Saccharomyces cerevisiae S288C: one gene and its partners. The gene in region 3 interacts genetically with the main gene of each other region. Each region holds a gene or a part of one and is shown on either strand. Other genes may lie near its edges.

Region 1 (4,222 bases), on a different chromosome or scaffold from region 3:
CCACGCAAGTAACTACGTAGGTCAGAGGGCACAAGGAATAACACGTGACATTTTTCTTTTTTCTTTTTTTTTTTTTTTTTTTTTTTTGTTAGTCTTGGCTTCTGTGCCGTAGTCTGTATACGGTTTTAGATGCGGTATGTTTATCATCGCCCAGAAATTTGCGGGGTGCAAAGAAATAAAATCCGTGCTGAAACCCGTGCTGAAATCCGTGCACCGCATCAAATTTTCTCGGAGGATTCTTTGCGCCGGTTTTCATTTTCTTCCACGGAATACCAAGCCCATTGCATCGCGATGTTAGTTTAGCGGAGTTTCTTGGCATTGGCAAATCTCTGCTAAATGCTGCGTACAGACGGAAACTCACACCGCCGCGAAGACTGGTCAGTGGCAAAAAAAAAATAAAAATATAGAAAATAACTATTACGTATGTTACTGTTTCTGGTAGTTGATATGAAGTTGGAGTTGTATATTGTACGCTTTAGGAACAGGGAAGTGAATATTATTTACTCTGCTGCACATTCTGGCTAGGTCGAAGCCGGAACTTGAGAAGACGCCGCGCTAGAACTATGGACCAAGCTGTTGACAATGTTCAGATGGTGATGCACTACCCTGTGCGGGGAGTGGCCACGGACGCGAGCGGAAGGTGCGGAAGGTGCGGAAGGTGCGGGAGTTGCGGGAGGTTCTTCGCTAAGCGTGAGGGTTGCTAGCTGGGGCGGCGGGGTTTCCCTAAGTGTAAATAAGGCCTCGGCTGGCACATGAGTCGCCGGAGGAGGCGGCGGAGGCGACGACGCTAAAACCGTGGCCGTTGGGGAAGGATGGGCGGCTATATCTACCATTGACCTGATGGGGACTCGGTTCTTAAGGAATGGGTTTGAGGTGGGTGTGGTTGCAGCAACATCTGTAGCGATATGGAAACCCCGCGGATTCTCGTACGTAGTGGTTTTGATAATAGGTTTCTTACACACATATTTGTCGTTGGCATCAACACAAGTCTCAATTCCTTGGAACCATGGGTCTTCGAAGAGGTCGTCGATGGTGTAGCGGGTGGCGGCTTCTGGGTCAGCGAGCCGCCATGCCACGCGAGATGCATGTCCGTTCTTGAAATTTCTAGCCAAGTGATACTCCATTCCCGGCCCCGGGCGGTAATTGCCGCGATTGCGGAATGCGCGATCGTGAAGACGGATAAAGTTTTCATAAGCGTCACAGTAATCGCGGAAACCAGTGTCGAAGCTGCAGGATTCCAAAAATGGAATGACGTTGTTGACGAGGGTCATGAGGATAATACCCAGGCCATAACAGTCTAGAGCGCGTGGGTCATACGGCTGTTGCAATTCCGTATCGTAGTGCTTCTTGGAGTCGTAGAACATGACCTCCGGGGGAGCATACGGCGGCGAGCCGATCATCCCTGCGCACTTCTTGACAGGGCTGGACAGGTCGTGTGGATCCGTGTGGTACCAGTCTGAGATACCAAAATCTGTCAGCTTGCACACGCCGTCCGGGGATAGCAGTACATTTTCCGGTTTCAAATCACGGTGGGCGATGCCCTGATCGTGGCAAAACTTGACACCACACGCCACCTGTTTGAATATACAAAACTTTTCTGCTAGGGCCACGCTGCGCCAGCCCGATTTTTGTATCATCGCGAACAAATCTCGTAGACCTAGCTCCATGACGAACCCCCACCCGCGAGTGGTGTAGACGGTGGTGGGCACCTTGACTAGAAGGAAAGTATTTGTGATGTGAACATGATGACTTAGCTGCTTTGCGATGATAAACTCCTTTGAGCAGCGCTTGTAGAATTTCTCGGGCGTTTCATTATAGATCATATTGAGCTTCTTTAGAGCAAATACGTCCTTCTTGCGGTACTTGGAGCGGATCTTGCGCACTTCGCACGAACCGCCCCATCCGATGGTCTTATTCTCATCATCAAAGACGAAGTTATCGCTCAACTGGATGCTTGCCTCCTTCATCTCGTCGGGCAGATACTCGTTTGGGTCCACAATTGGGATCGGCAGCATGCGGATTTTGGAATCCCCATCGTGAAGGTAGAAGCCCAGATCAGGGTCTTTCTTCATGGAGGTAGAGACGGACGAGAGTGACGTGCTTGGGGTTGAGACGCCGTATGGATTGTACACTAATCGTTCGCTACTGAACTTGGAGTTTGAGAGATTACGCGAAGTGGACGAATGTCTGTTTCCTCTTGAGATGGACGTGCTGGAGCCGGCCGGAGGTAGGATCTTGGTTGAGGCGGAAGATAAAGATCTCTTGCTGTTGGTTGTGTGAGCGAAAGAGTTTGCACGGCGAGAGGTTTTCAACGAATTCGGCAGTTTTGGGCTGGAGGATTCGCTGTCATTAGTACTTGTAGAGTGGAAGTCTGGAGGTAGAGACGCCTTTTTCTTCAACTTGTTCCCATGGCTTGAACTTAACAGCTTCTTTCCGAAGAACTTAAATGCTGATACCGAGGAGATTGGTTGTTGGGATATCTTCGTAGAATGATTGTGTGAGACTGTCATTGGTTGGTGGTGCGATTTAATGCGTATGCTTGCCTGTGGCGTTAAAATGGTCTATACGTTTATGCTAATATTTCTTGATGTAATGCAGGGCCTATGAATACATGGAGGTTTGTTGCCGGTGGTATACGGTTGAAAAAAAAAAGAAATAGATATATATATATTTCTTCTTTGTATAGACTTCTGCGAGAAAAAGAAAAGATAAGGAAAAATGAAAAAAAAAGCGTATAGGTGCTAAGAAGAATTAAGTATCAAAAGGTAGCAGGCATTTATGTTATATATGCAACTTCGGATTTCGTTCAATACATCTTGACCGGTCTCCACTGTTACTGGCATATTTCTCGGGTTTTTCCTTTTCACCACAAGGGAAAAAAAATGCGTTATGTAATTTCACCAATATTTTTCCCGTCCTGCGTGCTCGCACAATACAATAGGGTCATGTCACGTAATAAGCAACGTGCGCCGCATTTTTTGCCCTTTAAAGGGAAACGCGCTTTGTTCTTTTCTTCTTCCTTTTCACATAAGGGAGAGTCGGCTACCAATGTCGATGGAATTCTCACCATTGGGCATCTCACCGTTCCTATCCTTCTGGAACCTATCGTAAATCCCCCTTAATTTGACCAACTCACTTGTTGAAATACTAGGTTTTGTCTCTTGACAGGCTTCCAATAAATCGTTTATTGTGACCACAGCTGTCAGCTCAGAAGCAGCTGAAGTGCTTGTCTTTGTCTCGTGCACCACATCTTGCTGCAATAGAGTCTTTAGCCGTAGTCTATTTTCTTCTCTACGCCCGTGCTCATTGATACTGAAGTATTCTATATTATCATTGCCGGGTACCACTTCCGATTGGTCTGCAGCAGACAGCCACCTATGTACAGATTTCAAATAAGCATTGTAGCAGAGCCCCTGTAAATCAGCACCCGAAAAACCAGCTGTCTTTTCAGCGATCAACTTCAAGTCTGCATTTTTCTCCAATGCAAATTTTTTTTGTCCCGTATCCTTGTCTTTTGAATTGACGATAGCTTGCAAGATATCTAACCTCTCTGATTCAGTCGGTATATTACAGATCACACTTTTGTCTAATCTTCCCGGTCTTAACAATGCGCTATCAATCAAATCAGGTCTACTTGTAGCTGCTAGTATATATACACCATCAAGGCCCTCGGCACCATCCATTTGGGTCAATAATTGATTGACTACACGGTCTGTGACACCAGTGGAGTCATGCCCTCTCTTTGGCGCAATAGAATCGAACTCGTCAAAAAATAGAATACAGGGTTTGACGGACTGTGCCCTTTCAAACAATTCTCTTATGTTTTGTTCGCTGGCACCTATAAACTTGTTTAAAATCTCTGGTCCCTTAACGGAGATAAAGTTTAACCCACATTGTTGTGCCACGGCGCTCGCCAGAAGCGTTTTACCACAACCAGGATAACCGTAAAGCAAGATTCCTGATCTCAATCTTAGGGGACAATTAACGAAAATAGGCTCATATTTTGTGGGCCACTCTAAGGTTTCTAGAAGGACATCTTTGGCATTTGCTAAAGCACCAATATCCCCCCATTTGATGTTCGTTTCTTTTGTTAGCTTTACTCCACGCAACGCAGATGGTGTAAACGCACTAAGCGACTTCGAAAAAAGTTCCCTTGTTACAACATTATCACAATCTCTTTCCAACTGCAAGTCGTAGAAAATCTTTTCTGTGAATATTTCCA
Region 2 (3,131 bases), on a different chromosome or scaffold from region 3:
GCTCAAAAGAACTGGAAAATTTGGGAGAATTACATGCTTGTTGCTGTTAAGTTGAATGAGTGGGAGGATGTCTTAACTGCATGTAAACAATTAGTCAGTATTAGGAGGGACAAATCTGGCGAAGGTTCCATCGACTTACCAATTATTGAAAAACTAGTAGAACTATTAGTGACTAGTGAATATCCAGAGGAGCCGCAGCAATTATCTTATTTTCAAAAGAGCTGTACTGAGTTTATCTGTAACACTTTACCTCAGGTAATTACAACCAGTGCAAGATGTTGGCGACTGGTCGCAAGAGTAGAACTTTGGAGGAAGAGACCATGGGCCGCCCTAGAATGCCACGAGAAGGCTTATAGGGCCATTTCTCACAATCCTGATTTAGAAGTTGAAGAAAAGGTTTGGAATGATACAGTGGATGCTTGTGAAGATTTGGTGGCTGCCTATGAATCACTTGGTGAAATGGAAGGTAAATATGGGCCAGGCAGTCTGGTTTGCAAAGACTGGAAATACAAATGTAGATCTACTATCAAAGCTCTAATGAGTAAAGGCAAAGGCAGATGGGATGACTCTCCTGGTTGGGATAGGCTAGTGGAAGCAAGAAGCCAAATATGAAGAGCACCTTTCATGTATAATCTGTGTATATTACGTAATGTTTGTATAAATAGATACATATGGACATGAATCAAGCATATCTAATAGAAGTTTTTATATTTTATCTCCTTGGCTGGGTGGTCTCATCTGTGAAAGGAGAGCCTCAATTATGTTGAGCTTGTTTAAAACTTTACACTCAAAATCTTCTTGCCTTTTCTTTATCACCTCGAGTTCGTTGTGAAGATAATCTAGACATATTTCCAATTCCATATTAGAGTCCGACCACGATTGCTCAGCAGCCATTTGTGGAGGCAGTACTGTCTCGCTGAACCTATTTGTACCCTTGTTTATCTTAGGGCTTTTGATGACTTTCCCGACGTCGTTATCCTTAGACAGAATCATGGGGATTGTGTGAAGAGTAGGCGGAATTCCAATCGTTATTGAATCCAGGGGCAGCGGTTGTGAGCCTGAATGCTCATCGTCGGAGCTGTGGTTATTCGGATGTTCAGCGGATGATAATTGTTGAAACGGATCAGGCCCCGGATGACTTTTAATGAAAGAAGATGATGATAAGGATGAAGATGATTCATTTCCGAATTTAGTTCTTGGTCTTGGATGTTCTGGTGCTTCGTCCAAGAGTGCTCCCATCAGCTTCAACTGGGAAGGAGAGAATTGGGCTCGATCTGCGCTGAAGAGGTCCTTCAGTCGACGAAATTTGGTTTTTAACGTCCTTGATTGTCTATATCTTGACCCAGTCTGTCTGTTGTACTCATCGAGCACCCTTTGCCAGCTATCTTGTCTGTAGGCATATGGTTTCAGATGAGGTTTGTGCCGTATCAGTAGTCGTAGAAGCAGCTCCACAGGATCCACCGATTCATCCATTATGGTTGGCTCCGCCTAAACCTTTCAAAGTATCGTTAAACCATGTTGTTATCAATGGTTCAACTCACCCGAATGGAAATAACGCTTATTTTGACGCCGTAATCGAAGGATGTGAAGAACTTATCAAGACTTGAAAATAGAGAACAAAAGAGATTTAAGAATAACTATGTGGAGACTAACCAGAAAAATCGGCACTAGAATCCATATTTCTAATCAGCTGTCGCCCATTTTTAACAAGGCAATTGGAACAGTTCCTGTTTTTCGTTTTTATTCTTCCAGCCCAGAGCAGAAGTATAGAAAGAAACTTTTGGAAGAGGCTCAAAAACAAGGTTTTAACAGCATAGAAGAGTTGAAAAATCATTTGAAAGAGACTATAGAGTCTAAGAAGCGGGAATTTAATAAAATCGACCCCCTGAAAGAACTAGAGGATTACCAACAAAAAACTCAAATGGAAAATAACAACTCCAAGCATTTGATGACGAAATCAAGAAGTCCTCTCGATCCAAGTGCTCCTAAAGTTCCCTTCAAAACATTGGACTCTTTTTTGGATGTTGGAAAACTGAAGGACTTATCGAAACAGGAAGTAGAGTTTCTTTGGAGAGCAAGATGGGCACAAAAAGATAATACATTATGCGCTGTGATTCCTGTCTCCGTTTATGATAAGATGATGGCAAATGCCAGGAATAACCCTATATTCGTGTTGCCACTTCCTAGACAAGTTCAATCTGAGGATGCAAAACCGAACGAAGAACAGGGAATGGAACTACACTACATCCAATGGCAGTTTGTCGGACCCCAAACAACACATTGTATGATGACTTCCCTAGCAGAATACAAACTACACCAGGAATTTGCAAGGCCACATACTACCTTGCAGTTCCATTCTGATTTGGTCAAGGATAAGGGAATTGTTTTTATGAATGGCCATGTTGAACCGGATACAAACGTGAATGTACAGGATGCACAGCTGTTATTGCTAAACGTGCAAAGGTTTTATGGTGCAATGGGTGAAGAAACTCCAGTTGCTAAACAGAGAGTGCAGTTGTTAAGAGATTTCTCTAAGGCCTCTCCGGGATTCACCGTCGAGAAATTGATTTCGCTATCACAGTCCATGGAAAATTAACGAAGAATTACTTCCGTATACGTATATATATATATATATATATATTAATGACACCTGTAAATAAAATACGTACTACATCATCTGCGACAAGCGTACAGTTTCTTTACACAGTTATCAGCATGACTCTTGTATTTTCATAATGAAAAATGAAAATAAAAATTTTAGTAGATGAATATAATACGCAGAAAGAACAGGCTAAAAAAGTACGAAAAGCAACTTCATTATATTTCCGCATTCATCCTTCAATTATGGCCAGCAAGACTTTGAGGGTTCTTTTTCTGGGTCCCAAAGGTACGTATTCCCATCAAGCTGCATTACAACAATTTCAATCAACATCTGATGTTGAGTACCTCCCAGCAGCCTCTATCCCCCAATGTTTTAACCAATTGGAGAACGACACTAGTATAGATTATTCAGTGGTACCGTTGGAAAATTCCACCAATGGACAAGTAGTTTTTTCCTATGATCTCTTGCGTGATAGGATGATCAAAAAAGCCCTATCCTTACCTGCTCCAGCAGATACTAATAGAATTAC
Region 3 (3,438 bases):
GACTTCGCTCTACGAGAATTCTTAGGTTTCTACGAGTTACGCGCCCTTCTTCGAACGCCATTCTCAGGAAAAATTGCATTTACGTAATCTTTTGTTCTAATTGATATAATGGCTATTTATACGTAATATCATGCTTAAGAACCAAGAAAGCCAATAATGGCATTCGGAGGAAGCAATCAGTGAGGAAAATTGTTGATTAAGCTAGATATTTCTATATCTAGTAGATCTTGTCAAGTTGAAGTAGCGAATAGGACTCCTGTATTGCTATTGTGATGTTTTTTTATTGTACAGTAGTTGTATAACTTATCGTTGGTATTAACTACCGTTTGTTTATACATCATGCTCATTATCTCGTCCTGACTAATGTGAAAGGATCGATATATACATTGAAGGGTCGACGTCCCCTTTTATTAGCTCCTACAAAGATAGCACTGGCATATATTTTTTAATGTCTTGGTATATATTATATAGCAACTATACTCGATGTCATAAAGAGGAATACTATCTTTGGTGGTTGTCTAACTCTGAGCAATGCTAAGGCCCTTACCATTCTAAAACAACCATTTTTTTCTTCCCCTTCCCAGTTATACCTTTTTTGACTAGTTCTAGTAACTGTTCGTCAGTAGTAGTGTTAGTATTCCAGGTAAGAGTTTCAATTTCATCTCTTGGTGAAATAATGTGACCATAATTATACATTTTGATAAAATCACTGATGGTGTCAATCTTGCTTTGGGGGTTTTTTTTGTTCTTTTCAGTCACCCAGTACCCTTTGGATGTCAAGCCTTTGAAAATGTGTAGAGATGTTGGTAAAGTTACAGGTTGTTTTGACATTCCTCCATAAGTGAGCATCAAAGCATTATTTTCCAACTTACGTGCTATTGATGCACTGGATTTACCTCCAACAGAATTCAAGGCAAGCCTCACCCTTGCATTTTCACCCAAAATCTTGGACAATACTTCTTTGGCAAAAGTCTTGTCGTTGTTTTGCGATTCGGAAATAACCTTCGTAGCACCATACTTATCCTCCAAAACTTTTGCTACCTCATCAAAATTATCACGGTCACGTATAACACTTAATGTTTTGATCCCTTTAGCTTTTGCTACTTGCGTAACTATTTTTGATACACTAGATGTACCGGCATTTTGGATAATCCATTCATTACCGTTACTGTTCCAGTCGATATAGTCTGATACTAATTGGAAACCGGTACAACCATTAACAGATACAGTTGCCGCAGAAAACAGATCCAAATCATTTACCTTGATTAAATCAGAACTACTAGAGAAAACTCTATAATTGGACCAAGTCCCTTGATTTGCCTGCAATGGGATAACTCGGTCACCCAATTTCAAATCTCCCTTGGAACTTCCCGAAGGTAAAGAAACAACTTCAAAGACACCCTCATTACCGGCGATAGCGGCTGGCTCATCTGTGGAGTAATCGTATGTCTTTTCTGGACGAGACGGGTATACTCCTTGCAACTGATTGATATCCGAAGGGTTTATGGGAAAGGCCAAAGTTTTTAACACAATTGATTGAGATAAGTCTTGTTTAGGCGTATAATTTTTCACTGACAAAACCTTGGTACAATCCTCAACTTCATGAGTTGAATAGATGAGCGATTTGAAGTGCTTGGGAATCTGATGAGCTGAGGACGACATGTAACGTTTGAATGTGGGAAGCATCTTGTTATATCAAATGTAATTGGCAGATTATGAACCTTCTTAAATGACAATGTACGTTTGTAATCTCCAATTTCTTTAGCCATGGAAACAACCCCTGGGTACACCACTCGTGCGTCCCTTGGAGGAGAACCACTCTTTTAAGGTAAAAAAAAAAGCACCGGCGGGGTCCAATAATGATAATAATACCATAAATAAGGAAGATGGTATCACCGATTGGTCCAGAAGTATTATCCATACAGTTGTTTTTAATATTATTACATACATTATATATTAAAAATGTGTTTCGTAACCCTAAAGCAAAACAAAGTATATACAGTGACACAGATCCTTTAAACATCAAAAAAACAAAAAAAAGTAAGTCAGTGCAGATCCGAGCCTTCTCTCTTAATCTATCTAACTTTTAATTCAAAAGTACTTCTCCAAATAGCTACCACTTGCTTTATAACTAAATCCCTTGAACATATCCGGGGACTTGCTCACCGAATTGATATTAATCGGCTTGCTATCCGTATAGGTTTCCTCATATGACATAGAAGTAAATTCTGTGTCAAAATTTTCCGCTAGTTCCAAATCCGTAATAACTGGAACAATTGGGCCTAGAGTGGTTTTTTGCAATTGTCCAGATTCTAATAACTTCCAGTCTATTTTTCTAAAGATAAAATGTTCAGTGAAAAGACTAGTTCTTGCAGCCCCTGATTTCTTCTTCTTAGACTTAGTAGGCTTATTATTAGCCCCGGTTTTGGCCCAGTATTTGTCAACATTCCACCTTTTGGCAGTTTCCTTCTTCAACAGCGCGTTTAATATATCTTTCATTCCCTCGCTCAGATAAAATGGAATTTTGGGGCCTTGCTTGTTTTGTTGAATCTTATTAATGATCACCTTATGATTGCTACCAGTATATGGAGGCTTACCTACTAACATGTCATACAACAGACATCCCAAAGAATACCAATCACAATTCTGACTGTAAGCTTTACCTAATAATATTTCAGGCGCACAGTATTCAGGCGTACCGATAATCGAGTATAGGGCATTGACGTTCTCTGGATCCTCCTCATCAACCGCGGAATCATTAGCACTTTTTTTACTCAGACCAAAATCTGTCAATACTAAATGTCCACGTTGATTCAATAAACAGTTTTCAGGTTTTAAATCTCTATAGACAACACCTTTCGTATGCAAAAATCTCAAGGCACAGCTGATTTCTGCCGCGTAAAACGAAACTGTCGTCTCATCTAGGGTCCCGTGTTCCTTCAAGTGGTAAAATAGTTCACCGCCAGGGATATATTGTAGCAGTAAATATAACTTTGAGTTATCGTGAAAAGAATAAAATAACTTGACAATGTTTGGATGTTCTATTTCAGATAGAATAGACCGTTCGGCAAATGTTCTCTCAAGCCTCTTTGATAATCCATCGTCATTATCGTTGTTATTACCATCATTTTTATCTTCGTCTTCTCTCTTGGAATCTGTGGCTGTTTGAGAAATTAAAATTTCTGCTTTCCGTAATTGCTTCATAGCATACAGCTTGGATGTATTGACGTCCTTAACAAGAAGAACTTTACCGTAGGCACCTTGGCCTAGGACTCTCACGGGCTTAAAATCGTGCAGGTTCCTTGATAATTCATTTTCTCCAATATTAGAGGAAATAATGTCCTGAGGTGTTATGGATAGTCTATTCGTATTAGTTCGCATTGCGTCCGAACCTGTAATAGAAAATCTTCTCGTATTTGGTGGAGTGAGAATAGGGAA
Region 4 (4,156 bases), on a different chromosome or scaffold from region 3:
CATAACGTATGAAAAATAGGTCCTGTAAAGCTCTGGTAAAATCTTACTGCTCTAAGCGATGCATGATATTCATGGCTAATTTGAAATCTTGCTCTAAAACCCTTTTTGCAAGAAGAATATCATGGCAAGACCGCAAAAAGAGAATAGCACCATTTGCAGTGTTCGAAAGTTGGTGGCTTTTTGTATGTTGCAGTTAAATGATGGTAGAACAGGTTTTTGCGGTGTCCCATGAGAGAAAAGGAAGGAAGACATTCATAGAACATCCATGGCGGCACCCTGCTAAAATATCTTCACCTTAGTATTCAGATTTTCCTACTTCCGTCATCATTCGCTCCAATGTAATAACACGTCCACGTTATCAATAAAGATGTTTTAAAAATTTTTGTGGGACTATTATTGTACTTAAATAAATATTAAGACTACGGAGTCGGGCTATTTTATAAGCTTTTTATAGGCATTGCCGGCAAGCGGAAGAAAATGAAAGTGGACATATTTCCTCAAAAGACAGATCGTCTGGTGTTAAAATACTAAAGTTATGTAGTAATATATGAATATTATTGGTGCGGCAAGGAACAAATATAAACCCCGCAAAATGCTTTCTTAAGTAAATTACAAAATATGATTTGTGAGTTGTGTGTGAATCAACCCTCAAAATTTGCTTTATCGTTCACTGTATCTTCATTTTTGATGTTTGAAGAACTAGACGAATTATCGCCGTTAATTTGGTTATAGGTGTCTTCTACTCTATCTTCACCAAAGTCCTCTTTTTCCATTTCGTCGTCATAAGAGCCCAATGCATTGGCATGATCTTCGACTTCTTGTAGGGATAACTTGGGCAAATGGTTAGCAACTCTCCATGGTTGAGTGCCATCCTCGTATGCTTTAGCAAAGATGATGTCGATTTCCTCCAAACTTCTTCCGGCGGTTTCAGGGTAGAAAAAGAAGATAACTGGAATGTATAAATAATTCATAACAGCAAAAAATAAGTAGCAACCCCAACCGGACTGTCCAATAAATATTGGGGTGAACATGACAACCGCAAAGTTACACAACCAATTAGTACATGTGGAGAAAGCGTTTGTTGATGCACGAACTTTCATTGATGCAATTTCTGGTGGGTATATCCATGGTAATGATAGCAAAGACAAACCAAAGAATGTAATGAACAAAAATAAGCCGACGGCAGCACCTCTTGCGTTTTCTTTATTTTCTTTGACCAAGCATGCAAATGTAATTGTGAATGAAACTGCTTGACCTGTGGCACCTAATAAAAACAGCTTACGTCTACCTAGCTTTTCAATTAGAAAAAATGAACCAATAGTAGATAAGGCGTAGATTGTTGCGAAGACCCCACCTATGATCATTGATAATCTATAGTCTAATTTAATTGTTTTGTTGAATAATACAGTAGAGTAGTATATGGCAGCGTTACAACCAGTAAATTGCTGGAAAAATTGCGTTGAAGCTGCAATCAAAGCCCTCTGAAGATTTTGGGACCTGCCTCTGGAGAACAAACTTGACAGTGAATGTTTCTCGTGTTTGGTCCTGTTAACAGCATCGTGAAGCATAGCAACTTCTGTTATAACTTCCTCATCATTTGGATCCGCGTCGTCTAGTGTTCCTACCAAGTAGCGAGCTTCTTCTGTTCGACTTTGAGAAATCAGCCAACGTGGCGATTCAGGTAGTTTAATCATGAAAGCAAGCAGGAAGAGAGCAAAAACGATTTGCATTGACACGGGGAATCTCCACTGAACAGAACTGTTGGTATAAGACAACCCAAAATCAATCCAATAAGCAATCATAGTACCAAAAGCAATTGTGGAACCTTCTAAATTGACCAGCAACCCTCTATTTTCAGCTTTTGACATTTCTGATTGCCAAACGGGAATAGTAGATGTATTCAACCCTGTTCCAACACCGGTGACGACTCTTCCGATGATAAACTGGCCTAATGCCCAGTAACCACGAAATGCGCATGTAGAAATAACGGCACCAATGATGGTTATTACGGAACCCATCAGGATTAATGGTTTTCTACCAATTCTTTCACCGCAGAACATAACGAATAGAGAACCTGCGAAACAACCTAATTCATAACAGGAGGTTGTAGCGCCCTGCACTACAGTTGCGTGTCTGTCATGATCGCCATTTTCTTTGGTTGCTGGAAATTCATAGTTGAACTGTTTACCAGTAATTAGACTTGCCATCAACCCTTGGTCGTATCCAAACAGGGAGAAGCCCGTCATAGATGCGATAGTGATGAAATACCGCAACTTCTTACCCGTAAGTCCCCAGTGACTGGTTCTGCTTATAAATTTGCCTTTGAAATTCGATAATTTTAAATCCTTCATGGTCTAAAACTTTCTATGTTCTATTTTTCTATTTTTTATTTATTCTAACTTGTATGCTAGAACACGTATACAAAATAATTATTCAAAATCAATAAAGGGCTTGTTTATATACTATGAGTGTGACTACTCCTGAACTGCAATTCTGACCCTCTAAGGCCAAGCAGCGTTGAAGGGGACAAAATTGAAGCTAAAACATCTCACTTAAGCTTTCTCAATTTCTCTATCTACTTCCTTTTTGTTACGAATGCCCCAATGAAAGCCCTATCAAAGGTGAACCAAAAGTGTTTCCCTTACCGGGATCTGCACTTTCTCAGATTACTACTATCGCGAAGCAGCCAAGCGCAATAGCTGCACCTGGCGAGGATTAACCAACCAAAAACGGTATATAGCCGAGAAACAGTGTACAACCATTATTTCTTTCTGACGTAGTGGATGGCTGGACACTTTCCGCTTATTTTAGTTTCATGCAACGAACAGAGCCGCTCGAACAGGCGACGTAGCGCCGAATACCCCGCGAAACGGAGATGCTACTCAAATGCAGGTAGCGGAGGCATCGCCGTGGGGTATGCGGTGGCCGAAAAAGGACAAAGTCGGACCCTTCATATCAGTTAAAATGACGCAAGTTGAGTCAAAGTGAGCCAAATGGGCCAAATGCGGTGGAATAGTGGGACAACGGCACTTATTTCGTCCGTACGTCCGTTATGGATGTGTATACTATTTCATGATTGGCTTACCTCAAAGAAAATGAAACGGATGGTGCCTCCTAGCCTTGGCAATGAGTATCAGTAGTGGTGTTCTGCAGCCCTTTAATTCTATCTTGGCCGCATTCCAGACATATCCCTTATAGTTATGACGTATATGATTGTGGGGCATTGTTTGCCAAGGAAAATGGAGTAAGTTGAATGAAGAATATGGATTAGTGGTTCTAGGTCGCTCGTAATATCAGACTGAAAGACATTATCTTTGCAAAGGTTGTAAAAGGAGTATTTCAGAATCATTGCTGATTCACACGCGAGACCACATTAGTAAATTTTCTACTCTCGGGCTGAATTCCTCGGCGAAGCTTTGCCTTGCCATTTTAGGTGAGAATACGTATTTGCGGTATCATATTGTTTTTCTTCTCTTCCTTAACTCATTTAGAAAGTTCGATAGTGAACAAAGCGCTACACAAATATTTGATCATGGCAAAGTTACCGCGCCAATCGCCCTGCGCATTGTAGTCGCCTGCTCCTTCAGTTCGTCCGCTGGTTGCGGAATATTTGAATGTCAGTTTTCAACATTGAAACATCAGATAATGTTGGTATCGTGTTTAAATGATGGACGCATCTACGTCACCTTAAGTGCGTTTTTGCCTGTGAGATTTTTATTTCATTGTGTCCACTTGCTATTGTCTGGTTGATATTCCGATGTTTGTCGAGTTTTTTTATTTGCTCTCTGCTTTCATTTTTCTGCACTTCTGGCACATGGTCTAGCCTTTCTTAGTCCAGAAGCAACTGTCACCATTGAATAACGTTGCACTTCAACCTGTCCGTTTATCCAACTGTTTATATCGGTAGAAATAAGGGTATAAGAATAAATTGGCTGGTCAATTGATCGATGAAATTATCGAGCTTTTTTTTTTACTGCATGATCCCTGTCTTCTGAGGCTGTGTAACTTTTTTACTGCCTAAGAACTCTCGGACCCTTCTTTGGTGTTGCCTCAGAAATAGTATGGTGTATTAGCACCATAATAAAAATTTTTACAAAAGCCACTATTATCCTCACTCACCGATGAATGAACATATATGACCTCCAAGATATTCGAT

What was found.
Region 1: mutations in ETR1 (region 3) and PTK1 together harm fitness less than expected from each alone (positive genetic interaction), as found in Saccharomyces cerevisiae (2 studies listed by BioGRID).
Region 2: mutations in ETR1 (region 3) and ATP11 together harm fitness more than expected from each alone (negative genetic interaction), as found in Saccharomyces cerevisiae (2 studies listed by BioGRID).
Region 4: mutations in ETR1 (region 3) and STL1 together harm fitness more than expected from each alone (negative genetic interaction), as found in Saccharomyces cerevisiae (2 studies listed by BioGRID).

Annotation. Positions count from the first base shown.
Region 1 is NC_001143.9:67,711-71,932, forward strand, and holds PTK1 (putative serine/threonine protein kinase PTK1), read right to left. Parts: upstream 2,511-4,222; coding exon 522-2,510; downstream 1-521. Other genes in the region: PEX1 (AAA family ATPase peroxin 1), read right to left, coding at 3,024-4,222. UniProt on the Saccharomyces cerevisiae protein: Essential determinant for low-affinity spermidine transport.
Region 2 is NC_001146.8:42,789-45,919, reverse strand, and holds ATP11 (Atp11p), read left to right. Parts: upstream 1-1,639; coding exon 1,640-2,596; downstream 2,597-3,131. Other genes in the region: tetratricopeptide repeat-containing protein EMW1, read left to right, coding at 1-612; DAL82 (Dal82p), read right to left, coding at 706-1,473; prephenate dehydratase PHA2, read left to right, coding at 2,845-3,131.
Region 3 is NC_001134.8:292,334-295,771, forward strand, and holds ETR1 (enoyl-[acyl-carrier-protein] reductase), read right to left. Parts: upstream 1,687-3,438; coding exon 544-1,686; downstream 1-543. Other genes in the region: YBR027C (uncharacterized protein), read right to left, coding at 1,691-2,023; putative protein kinase YPK3, read right to left, coding at 2,092-3,438. UniProt on the Saccharomyces cerevisiae protein: Catalyzes the NADPH-dependent reduction of trans-2-enoyl thioesters in mitochondrial fatty acid synthesis (fatty acid synthesis type II).
Region 4 is NC_001136.10:1,506,200-1,510,355, reverse strand, and holds STL1 (glucose-inactivated glycerol proton symporter STL1), read right to left. Parts: upstream 2,352-4,156; coding exon 642-2,351; downstream 1-641.